2 linked regions of the Drosophila melanogaster genome follow. The protein of the gene in region 1 interacts with the protein of each later gene in a pairwise test. Each region holds a gene or a part of one and is shown in the gene's direction. Other genes may lie near its edges.

What was found. Proteins that work in one complex are often made in the same cells at the same time.
Region 2: the proteins of Prip (region 1) and Gnptab interact in a two-hybrid assay, tested with the Drosophila melanogaster proteins (one large-scale study listed by BioGRID).

What each region holds. Positions count from the first base shown.
Region 1 is NT_033778.4:11,434,526-11,442,247, forward strand, and holds Prip (prip), read left to right. Parts: upstream 1-1,717; 5' UTR 1,718-1,897; intron 1,898-5,272; 5' UTR 5,273-5,307; coding exon 5,308-5,343; intron 5,344-5,444; coding exon 5,445-5,600; intron 5,601-5,661; coding exon 5,662-5,805; intron 5,806-6,542; coding exon 6,543-6,965; coding exon of another isoform or gene 6,966-7,013; exon of another isoform or gene 7,014-7,095; intron 7,096-7,124; coding exon 7,125-7,178; 3' UTR 7,179-7,215; coding exon of another isoform or gene 7,216-7,236; 3' UTR 7,237-7,347; intron 7,348-7,409; coding exon of another isoform or gene 7,410-7,445; 3' UTR 7,446-7,691; downstream 7,692-7,722.
Region 2 is NT_033778.4:9,203,872-9,208,898, reverse strand, and holds Gnptab (N-acetylglucosamine-1-phosphate transferase subunits alpha and beta), read left to right. Parts: upstream 1-1,774; 5' UTR 1,775-1,874; coding exon 1,875-1,965; intron 1,966-2,026; coding exon 2,027-3,447; intron 3,448-3,504; coding exon 3,505-3,993; 3' UTR 3,994-4,489; downstream 4,490-5,027. Other genes in the region: VhaAC45 (vacuolar H[+] ATPase AC45 accessory subunit), read right to left, coding at 1-482, 555-816, 883-985, 1,049-1,134.

The sequences.
Region 1 (7,722 bases):
TTCGTATATGATTTATACTTGTTTGTTTCTCCCAGGCATATTTTTGATAAAACTGGGCTGAGCACATGTAGTTGAATCACAAAATGTCGTCGTTTTCGATAAACGCACTAATTAATCATCCGAAAATTTACATAATTAACTATTCTTTGTTAAGCTATAAAATTTCAGTAACTATGATTTAAGAAATGTAACATAAGAAAATAATATGTTGAATAAAAGAGAAACTCTATAAATAAATAACTACAACGCTTGTCAGTTTAGAATGCGAATGATCATTACAATTAACTAGGAGGTTTCTATCAATCCGATTCGGAGTGAAGTGTATTAGTATTTTTGTACCCGTATCAGCACGTGTTGCATTCAACCGCCTTATTCTTATTTAACTTGTTATCAGTATTAAACCCGTTATTATCTATAACTAATAGTGAAGTACACATAGCCTATACTATAATGTTTCTAATCAGGAAACCTTAAGATAAAGCTAAGTGGTATTTTTAATCTAAGCCAAATTCGCTAGTCTAAAGACGTGACATTAACTTTAAAACCAGGAATGACCTTTTCAGACTCGTCTACACACAATATAATTTTAAATATTACACACTTTTTGGCGAATTTACCCTAATAATTAGCCATTTTATGATTATGATAATAATGAAAATAAAATTAAAATAAAATAAAATAGTTTATAATAATAAAAATAATGTTATATATAAAGGTCGAACAGTTTCAGACCATAATGTAAGCAAACTATACATACAAAGTGTGCCTACGTTGTTTTCGGTGTACTATCTCGATCATTTCTACTCTTATATTTGACTTATACGATTACACTTTATTTTACACCAAGCTCACAGTCATAAAATTGTGATTATACGCATTTATGAGGGCCTCATAAAAGTGTGCTTGGATTTGTGATCTGCGATTTTGCGGTTATTAATTTAAAATGGCAAATATACTTCGAAGACAACACCCATAAAGATAAAGTGAATTTGATTTTACGTCAAAATGTCATGGAAAAGTTCGGTATTCTCTGCTTGGAGTACACTAAATTAATTAAAGAAATTGTTTGTGAAGACATGATTTCTGGGCCGATTTCTCTGATAAGAACACCGAAAAGCAACGGAAACTTTTCTGCAAGCGTCACTGTCTGACGTGAATGATGGGTGGGTGTAAATATTACCCCTAAATAACTATTTGCAGTCCATAAATTTACTGATTGGTCGGAATTTTCAATTTAATATTTTTGCATGGTTTGTGTCTTGGCTGACGCGTGTGGGGTGTGGTGAGTTTCGGTGCCTGGCATGTTGTGTTTTTAAGCGGTGCGCCCGCGCAGCTAAACAATTTCGAATTCATTCCCTTTCAAAACTTTGGATAGTGCAATTAAATTAAATCGATGAAGAATTTGATATATATATCTATAAACGAATAAGTTCTCTGATTAACTTTCTTATACTTACGCATAAAGCTTATATTAAAGCGTATAGAATGTAAACATAAAAGCTCATAAAAACTAATTTGTTTTTAATAATTAGTTACACATTTATATAAACATTTAGTTAATACGCATAATTACATTATTTAGTTTTTTATAATTTAATTAATATAAATGTGCGCTCTTCGCATGAATTTATCTCTCTGCCCCTCTCTCTTTATAAATCGCGCTCTTTCTGCGCCATCGTTTTTGGTGCCTTTGGCTTTTTGCTGCCAAATGCGGTCGCGCAGTTTTTGTCGTCGAGTCAAAGTGCGCGGATCACTCCTCGAGTGAGCTAACAATTCCTGCCGAATTGAATTAAATATTTGTTAAGTGCAAGTTAAGGTGTTAGCTGTTGTTGTTGCCGTTAAGTCGAGTTCGTAAGCAGGTGGCAAAGGTGCCAAAGTGAGCTAATAGCAAAACAAGGTAAACTTCTAATTGAAAGTGATCTTGAAAATGCATAAAGTACATAAACTTTAAATGGGCATATCAAAAAGAGAATATTTCAACATATGTGTATTATTAATGTTTTTAATTAAGTTTAGATCTAATCAAATCAGTTATCCTGCAATATTATGCTGTTAATGGTGTATTTATAAGCTTGTAATCGATTTATTTATATTTAGTTTTTGAGTTTAATATAAACTAATGAAATGTAATTGCTTATATAGCTAAATAGTGACAAATTTAATAATTTAAGTTAAGCAAGTATAATTCAAAGTAACTAAAGTTTCTCCCTGTGCACCGAAACTAATGCTGTAATACCGTTTTGCATTTTTTTCTAACCCCTTACTTCGCCATTTATCAAATCTACTTTGATCTGTTTTCCTCTTGTTATGATTTTTGGAATTTTGTGAGACCGCCCCCGCATGTCAATCGTAAAAATATAACAATTTATGTACAATTTTTACTTTTGACCGCCAGCACGATTCTGAGTAATTAAAAGCCGCGAATATAAAATGTTATTCTTGCCAAAAGATGTGTATTTGAAAATTCATACATTTGGGACATTTCATTGTGCTTTTCATTTTGAAACCAGCGTTGCGTGAAACGATGCGGTCGTGCGATCTGTTTAAGCTTTTAAGATTTCTATATGTTTTGGTATTGTGTTCATTGGCTAATTGTTATTTAGGTACGGCAATGCCATGATCCGATGATATGGTAATGGGTCTTACAGAGCTTGGGGCATTCAGTTCGCTTCATATCTGACACTTGTGATTGATGGGTTGACCGCAGCAATTTTCTGGTCTCTGATTTGGTAATTTAAGTGAAGAATGTCCATCAGAAGCCTGGCTTCACTGTGGCCCCGAACACGTGTGGGAGTTTGGGCTATTAACTTTGCAATTGCCTCTGTGTGTGTGTGGTTTCCCCCCACTTTTATCGCTCCTGCCCCTCCCACGTTCGGCGTTGCATACAAATTTAGGGCTTAAGTAAGTTTTATGGCTTTTTAAGTGACAAAGTTGCGGCAAACAATTGCAAACGTCTATATCGCCAAATGCCATCAGGCGACGAACGCAATTGGAGCTAGGCCAGATACAATAGTTCAAAAACAATGAATATGAAGTCCAGTTCCCTGATTTCAGGCAAAGTTAACAGCTAGTTCCTAAGCTTTAATAGTCTGCATTACATTGTTGTCCCTTAACTTTTTCAAAAAACACTAAAATAGTTAGAGATCATGTGACTGCCATATTGGTAATTACTTTGATGCCAATAAATGCTACTCAAAACGGCAATAGTACCGAAAACACTTGAAAAGTGGTCAAGATAATTTGTATACTCGCTTTTAGAGTCCATAAAAATACATCAAGAAAGCAAAGCCAAAGATATTAGCTCATCAGCTTCAGAAACGGGAGATTTATACCCGTGTTATCGGCATGTTTTTAAATTAATGACGAATGTCTGCGTATGCGGCGATTTTTCTTAACGACATTCTTCAATATTTGCATATAATTAAATTTTATTGGAACACATTTTTAGCCGCCCCTCGGTTCAATTCGGCGAGAGTTCAAGTTCATGAACCCCTTGTTCATACACGTTTCGAAAGTCACAAAAATGCCTCGAATGACGAAAATCAGAACGAAATGCGTTGAAATGCATTCGACTTTGTTGTGTGTGCGAAAATATGTGTGAATTATGTGGATTTTGTTCTCGCCGTTTGTGCTAATTTGTTGAGCAAACTTTTACTTTATTGTTCGGATATTATGCGAATTGGCACGGACCCACTTGTACACTGGCAATTAGCCACATTTGTTGGCGCGCTATTGAAAATTCCAGAATTGGTGAGGGGCATATTGGGTTTCCAATTATAAAACAAGCTTATCATCCATAAATTGCGGCCCGAAATAATCGCAAAGCAAACTTTAATCAGAGCCGATTAATTGCTTAGATTTTTCATTCGAGGACCCAACACCTTGTGGTTGTACATACACCATTTAACCATTCTCATTAGCTGCAACCAAAGTGATAATCAGCACCTGTGAATCCGCACTACGGAATGTCAGTTAGTAGCTGGCCAATTAAAGCATTTCATAGGAACTAATAAAGATTATAATTACATGCTCAAATTGTTGAATCCGTTTTCACAATGCATGATTAACGGTCGATGACAAATATTGAAACTCTCAGGTTTTTACCCCGTTTTCCTCAAACCTCCAGTCAATGGAAATTGTTGTGTGGGTAGATTTTCGCTCTATGGCAAGGCATTCCACTTATCCGTGGGCCCAACCTTAAGTCAACTCAATTACTATTTGATCATCCAGCGCACCCCCTGCACCTCAATTAAGGAATAGAACTCGCTTTTTCATATCAGAGCACTTGAGTCTATTGGCTGATATCGATATGGGGCTCATGCTCGTAGATGACGCAAATGAAACACGAAATTCATTAAGATTGCATTAGAAAAGTAAATACTCGAAGTGATGAACAACTTGAATGCTTTGCGAGCATAGAAAATGGGAATTAACATTGAGCGCTCACTGATTGATTACCAAATGAAATGATATATGCAATATAAATTATTTTATACATACATACTCGTATGTATTTTTAAAGCTCTCGATGTTCTTGATGTGTGGGGGCATGGCCAACAAGTCTTAGCCCATTTTTGGGCCTGTTCGTGACCGCGTTGCGCCAAATAAGAAGAGCAAAGCAAACGCTTTCCACTGATGCCACTCTAGAACACTCTAAAAAAAAACCAGGCCTAATCCCCCCGCGGCTACAAAAACTGCCGGTTAAAAACTCAATTGCGAGTTCTGTTCACTCCTGACGGCGTTGTGCTCAAATATTTACATCGTTTTTATGACCCGTTGCCAATTAAATATTATACACTTTGTTTGTTTTATATATATTCTCACATGCAGCTGCAATTGCTGATAAGCTGGCAGTCGTCGAGTTGAGAGGAGGATTGCCCAGTTACCCACTGGCTGCCTCCAGTTACCCACTTTTAATGACAAGTGCTAAAGTTGAGCATTTAATAAATAAACGTAGATTAAGAATTTTTGGGACACAAGCCTTGAGTTAAATGAAAACCCCTAGACTTTTCCAATTGAAGACCAGACAGAAGTGTCGGCCAATTAGGCATCGTGACGGAAATTGCAGCGGAAATGCAGATTGTCAAAACTGTCACCAAAGGCCAAAACAATATCGCACCTTAAATGAGTGATAAAAGTGGCTAAATACCTGCTGAAGTCGGACAATTGTCCACTTCCATTTTCAAACACATTTCCATTTGCATTTTGGATTGCCATTTGCATTAACTACCAGACATCGTTCACTGATATTTCCGTTGGTCTTTTTTTTCAGTCCGTCAGTTTTAGTTGAAAAGTGAAGCGAAGAAGATGGGAAAATTCGAATACTCACTGGGTCTCAATGAGGTGAGTGCAAATCATACAAAGACAAAGTTTAATCGAAATACCAGTCAGTTATTAAAAATATCATTAAATAATGCTACTTTACTTATTAATTTGTCTTCTAGCTCAAATCCAAGGAGCTGCGATTGTGGCAGGCCTTGATTGGAGAATTCCTTGGCAATTTGATCCTCAATTTCTTTGCCTGCGGCGCATGCACCCAAATTGAGGATGGCACCTTCAAGGCCTTGGCTTTTGGCCTGGCTATCTTCATGGCCATCACGGTGGGTGGCTCGTTAATCTACGACATTATTCATACCCATATTCAACTATATATCCTTGCAGATTGTGGGCCACTTGAGTGGTGGTCATGTGAATCCTGCCGTTACCGCTGGAATGTTGGTCGCAGGACGAATTAGCTTGATCAGAGCCTTTTTCTATGTGGTTTTCCAGTGCTTGGGTGCAATTGCCGGAACTGCAGCGGTTAAGGTAGGCATTACACACATAAATTATTACATACATCTGAGTGAAATTATTAAAACAAAATACTCATCAGATTCCACTATTTCTTATATCATCATCATCAATTATATAGAGGTCGTCATTATGACAAAAAAATCTAACCTATCTTTACTTCTATGGTATATCTACAAAACAGCATTGCCAAAGAAAAGTCATTTGGCTTGTAAGTGTCTCAATCAGAACTGCCAGATTTCAAAATCAAATCCAAAATGTAGTCAATTAAAAAAATGTATAAATAATAATAAATATAAATACTTACTCGTTGTAAGATGATTGTTTGCAATGCTTTTGAGCTTATCTCGCTTTCTTAAAATAACACACTGAGACACATATGTACATACATGTTATTAAGTTTATTATTGTGATTGCCTCACATCCGGTTGCGGTTAAAAATGCCTTGTGTTTTGACCATTACTTTCTTTCGTTGAGTGGATAAATGATACGGGTACGCCAATGTCAAGAAAGTACTTTGATTAAATACTCGTATTTTTCGGTTTTATTTTGTATTAAAAACTACACATTTTAAAAAACAAATGATTTAGTAGAAATCACCAGTTCAATGAATCAACTTAAAATCTAATAGTTTAAAGTATTTTTACATACTCAACAAAACTAAGAGCTATATTTATTTTTAAGATTAAGATATCTAATCTAATCTATCTATCTATCTATATATAAATATTTTTTTTATACCAACACATTAGATTCTCATCGATCAGGACTATTACAATGGCCTGGGTCACACCTCTCTGGCGCCCAATATCACCGAGCTGCAGGGCCTGGGAATCGAGTTCTTCCTGGGACTCCTGCTGGTGCTCGTCGTCTTTGGGGCCTGTGATCCCCACAAGCCCGATTCCCGCTACACGGCGCCCTTGGCCATCGGAATGGCGGTGACCCTGGGTCACTTGGGCACCATCCGCTACACCGGGGCCAGCATGAATCCCGCTCGCACCGTGGGCACCGCCTTTGCCACCGACATCTGGGCGTCGCATTGGGTATACTGGGTGGGACCTGTGCTGGGGGGCGTGGCTGCCGCCCTGCTCTACACCCAGGTCCTGGAGGCGAAGCCCGTGCCAAAGGTTAACGAGGCATCCGAGAAGTACCGAACGCACGCCGATGAACGCGAGGTGAGAGTCAGGTTGATAAGCGCCTGGAGCGAGGAGTCCTTCTACTGATCCGTGATTCCGCCCACCCATTACACACACACACACACACACACACCCATCACACACACAAACACTCACTCACACTTGCATTGTAAATACTCCCGAATTACTTGATTTCAGGGATGCAAACCGAACCACAACCCGAACCATTTGGCATATACATATCTCGCTTAACTATAACTATTAAATGTGTTATGTTTTATCGCTTTAGCAGCAGATATTCGTATACTAAAGATATTACGACCTGCACGCAAAACTAATCTAAACCGCTTTTGTGAACCGAATACGATTGGTTTAGAAACTCTTCAATCCTATCAACCGAACCCGTCCGCCATTTCGATCGGTTTGCATCCCTGTTTAATTAGCTAACTAAATTTTGTATTATTGCAATTTATTTACTTGCAGATGCGCAAACTGGAGGGAGCCCGTGACTACGCCTAGATATAAAGAAATCTTTGCGACTCGAATCTAGGGATACAGATGAAATCTGTGTGTTTAATCCATTCATTTCAGTGTCTAACATAAACATGTCGTGTTCTTCTACGTTCGTGTGTATTTATGTATTTATTCATGCAAAATTCATTTTTAACTAACTAATATTTAATGTGTAAGCTGCCCTAAAATGCAATCTACAACAAAATTACTTGTACTCTCATGCGCTCACAATAAAGTGGAAAACATTAACTGAAACAAACTGGTGTTTATCGATTTTGTATCT
Region 2 (5,027 bases), 2.2 Mb from region 1:
ATCGAAGGGAGCCTGCAGCTGCAGGGACTTGAAGCTCAGGGTGTTGTACATGTTGTTGACGGCCGCGGACTCGAGGGTGAGGTTGCCGCACGAGTAAGAGAACGTGGTTGGGGCATTCACGCCGCTGGAGCGGAAGTTGTTGTTGTCGTAGACCAAATTGCTCAGACTAAAGTATCCGCCATTATAAACAACGTCAAAGGTGATTGGCTTGTCGGCGACAGATGTGTCCATAACAACGGATAGCTTGGTAGAGCTAGAGTTGGTGAGCTTGAGGTCGGTGACGGTGATGGGGTTGCCGTTGTAGAGCAGGGCAGTGTAGAAGATCTGAAACTGATTGGTCGACTTCCACATGATGCCACCGGTTGTGGCGGCGGTGTCACGGCGGGTACGACGCTGCACCACAGGAGCCGTGGAGGGGGCGGCCAGGTACAGATAAGCCACCTTGCACTCGAACTGCTTGCTGATAGCAGCTATGGCGGCGTCTAAATGTGTTAAATCATTGTTAAATTAGTGTGTCTTATTGACGCCTTTGTAGTACGTTATTGTTGACCCACCATGTGACTCCAGACTGGCCTCCCGGCTCTCGGCGGCGTCCTCGAAGGTCACAAACAGGGCCGTACCTACGGCACACTTGGCCGGCGTGGTCAGCTTTCCACTGGCATCGATGGAGTTGTGCTCGCGCTTGGCGGCCACTGAGCGCAGTGCCTCCGAGGGGTTCTCCACGCTGGTGTAGTAGGTCTTGGGGCTCACTCCCTGCAGCTGGGCGTAGCAGGACTGCGCCTGGGAGTTGGAGCACAGGAAGTCCTTGCTGCTCAGCTGAGTTGGGGAACAAACACATGTGTCACAAGCCCTAGCTATCTAAGTGGGTTCTCAAGCACTTACGCCATTTTCCTCGAAGGCCACGACCATGTGATCTTCCAGCAATGCAGCCAACTGCTCGGCAAACTCCACTTGGGACACCGTCTTCAGGGAGGGTTTCGCCACACTGTGAAAAAAGGAGGAAGGCACTCGTTACACTCACATTCAACTGGTGCAGGCGCTCACCCACCTGTTGGCTCCCCACAAAAAGACGGGCGTTTGCTCCGCCACGGCAGCCCCAATGACGCACAACGCAATCAGCGATTTCCACAACATCGCGCTGGATTCGCTTACTTCGGTGGGGGTTTAATGGAAACAAAGGAGAACGAAAAATGCATAAGTAAGGAACCAAGGAGAACGCAAGAGGCACTAAAAACCAACCGAAAAGTGAACTGAAACTACAAACGAAAAATGGTGGTGAAAATTTTCGCTTTGCCTTGCTCGACGTCGCCTATTCCAGTGAGAAAAAAAACCTTATGACGGTCATGTGATGCGCACCAGCTGACCGCAGTGCTGTCTAAAAATACCAAAAGCGTGAGATTAGGAAAATACTAGAAAAAAATTATTCGACTCTGAGAGCATTTAGTAAAGCCTAATTGGATATTTGCACCAGGAACTGACATTAACTGGGTTTCTTTTCAAAATTAATACTTATAAGAAAGTATAGTTTGTCAAATAAGGTTCATATCTTCGGTGTCCAATTAGCGCAGTCACACACCTTTCCAGCTGGAAACTGTCAACGGAACCGGTTCCGTTAATTCCACATGTTGATTCTTTAAAACCCGTATGTTCTATTTCGCACTGCTTACTAATAGTTTAATTAAATATCTAAAGAAATTCGGGTTTTATACTGATTGCTTTTATAAGCTCGATTTGAACCGAGTTTTTATTTCAGTCTTTCCAGTTAGTAATTTTACGCAGTTCTAGCACGGCCACACTGTCCCGCAGGAAAACAATGTTTGTTATGATTTTACTGCGGGAATTGTGTGTGAAATGTGCCATTTGAGGACCTGAGAATGCGATTACGCCGCCGTTGGCCGCGAAGGATGCGGCGTGCCATGGAACAACTGCGTCTCCAGTCCCGCCGGAAGCTGCTGGCGCTCACGAGTGAGTTACCTTGCTCACCAGCCCCATTACTTAACTAATGTTCTTTTTTTTTCAATTTTAGTGACTGGAGGACTCTGCCTGGCTATCTGGGTAGTTGCCAACTATCTGTCCGCATCGGAGGAGGGCCAAACCGGCGGCTTCAGCAGCGCCTGCACTGCCATCGATGCGGTTTACACGTGGGTCAATGGCTCGGATCCCAACTTTATTGAGGACATCCGGCGATTCGATGACAAGTACGATCCCTCGCGGTTCGATGACAAGAATGAGCTGCGGTACTCTCTGAGGTCCCTGGAAAAACACGCCGCATGGATCAGGCATGTGTACATAGTAACCAATGGCCAGATTCCAAGTTGGCTGGATCTCAGCTACGAAAGGGTCACGGTGGTGCCCCACGAAGTCCTGGCTCCCGATCCCGACCAGCTGCCCACCTTCTCCAGCTCGGCCATCGAGACATTTCTGCACCGCATACCAAAGCTGTCCAAGAGGTTCCTCTACCTCAACGACGACATATTCCTGGGAGCTCCGCTGTATCCGGAGGACTTGTACACTGAAGCGGAGGGAGTTCGCGTGTACCAGGCATGGATGGTGCCCGGCTGCGCCTTGGATTGCCCCTGGACGTACATAGGTGATGGAGCTTGCGATCGGCACTGCAACATTGATGCGTGCCAATTTGATGGAGGCGACTGCAGTGAAACTGGGCCAGCGAGCGATGCCCACGTCATTCCACCAAGCAAAGAAGTGCTCGAGGTGCAGCCTGCCGCTGTTCCACAATCAAGAGTCCACCGATTTCCTCAGATGGGTCTCCAAAAGCTGTTCAGGCGCAGCTCTGCCAATTTTAAGGATGTTATGCGGCACCGCAATGTGTCCACACTCAAGGAACTACGTCGCATTGTGGAGCGTTTTAACAAGGCCAAACTCATGTCGCTGAACCCCGAACTGGAGACCTCCAGCTCCGAGCCACAGACAACTCAGCGCCACGGGCTGCGCAAGGAGGATTTTAAGTCTTCCACCGATATTTACTCTCACTCGCTGATTGCCACCAATATGTTGCTGAATAGAGCCTATGGCTTTAAGGCACGCCATGTCCTGGCGCACGTGGGCTTCCTAATTGACAAGGATATTGTGGAGGCCATGCAGCGACGTTTTCACCAGCAAATTCTGGACACTGCCCATCAGCGCTTCCGAGCCCCAACAGATTTGCAGTACGCATTCGCTTACTACTCCTTCCTAATGAGCGAAACCAAAGTAATGAGTGTAGAGGAAATCTTCGATGAGTTCGACACGGACGGTTCGGCCACCTGGTCGGATCGAGAGGTGCGAACCTTTCTCACTCGCATCTATCAGCCGCCACTTGACTGGTCTGCCATGCGCTACTTCGAGGAGGTGGTTCAAAACTGCACAAGAAATCTGGGCATGCATTTAAAAGTGGACACAGTCGAACACTCCACGCTGGTCTACGAGCGATACGAGGACTCTAATTTGGTTAGTACTTATGATTATATCTTACAGATTTATATTAATTGCTGACTGCTCTTTTAGCCTACAATAACCAGGGATTTGGTTGTCCGATGTCCACTTCTGGCCGAAGCTTTGGCGGCAAACTTTGCAGTCCGACCCAAATATAACTTCCATGTCAGCCCAAAAAGAACTTCGCACAGCAATTTTATGATGCTCACATCGAATCTCACGGAGGTGGTGGAGTCACTGGACCGATTGCGTCGGAATCCGCGCAAGTTTAACTGCATCAACGACAATCTGGATGCCAATAGAGGCGAAGACAACGAGATGGTGCGCCATCTGCTCGAGGACTTTTACCTCTCCTTCTTTCCGAGACGCAGCAAGTTCGAGCTGCCGCCGCAATATCGTAATCGGTTCGAGTCCTGGCGGGACTTTCAGCGCTGGAAGAGAAGAAAGCGGGCGGTTCTCGTGATTGGATATGGAGTGAGTCTGCTGCTTGTGGTCTGTCTGCTGCGATTCATGTGCCACCACAAGGCGAAGCTGGTGAGGCGCTGTGTGCAGCGCTTGTAGGATCGATTTCGTGAAGTTCTCTCCCTTCTGCAATGTTGTGATATGTTGTGAACATTTATGTAAATTGGCCATTTCTGCAAGCGATCATAGTCAAATCTAGTTGTAGGCCATGTGTAAGGCTATTTTTCTAGTTCTTTAGGTGCATGCTAGAGGCTACGTTTAGAAATAGTCATTAAGAATGGATGCGTAGTGAAATTTTTTAGAATATTTTGTGGTCCAGCTTTTGCAGTCGACCTGTTTTGTGTTCAGTTTCATAATATCTAAGTTTCTATATTACTATTTCTAAGTTTGGCTTTACAATGATATTTGCTCACCTTAAAAGTACTGAACTGAAATATTCTAAATACCTAGTTTAATTTTGTTTACAAAATACGTAACTCGAACATACACAATGTACACATATTGATATAATGGAGTACGCCTTAAATGATATTTATACATTTTGCTAGTGAATGTTCTTCATTCTAAACAAAATAAACCATTTCTATTGATTTCCAATGCTCTAGAAACTGCGAACATTTATTAAATTAGTTTTTTTTATTATGTTCACTGGCTGGCTGCTGTCCAAACTACAGATTGCTGTCAGCACTTAGCACCAGTTCCGGATTTCAGATTCCCCGGCGCGTCGATGATTACCGCAGAATTTGACCGCCCGCTGAGCGGTGGGCGTTGCCGAACAATTCACTGGTGGCTCTCGAGCACTCTAACTACGTCATCACATTTTCGCCCGGTTTTTTACGCTTGCGGCCAGGGGACAGTGGGTGGTTAGTAATTACGGCCGTGGGTGGCTACCCACGTCCGAGTTCGCCGATTCGTCTCTGGAATTATGGCCACAAAAAACCCAGACTCCGCACTTTGCGGCCCGGAAGCCGGTGGGCGGAACTGGAGCGAGTCCAGACAGACTGACACGGGTCTCCTTGGTCCCCTTTTCGGGGGGCGTGGCACGAGCTTGGGCAATAGCTCCCCAGCGTCGTGTACATATGATGATGATTTGCTCTTTTTTGGAGGAACATCTTGGTTTTTTTTATTATTCC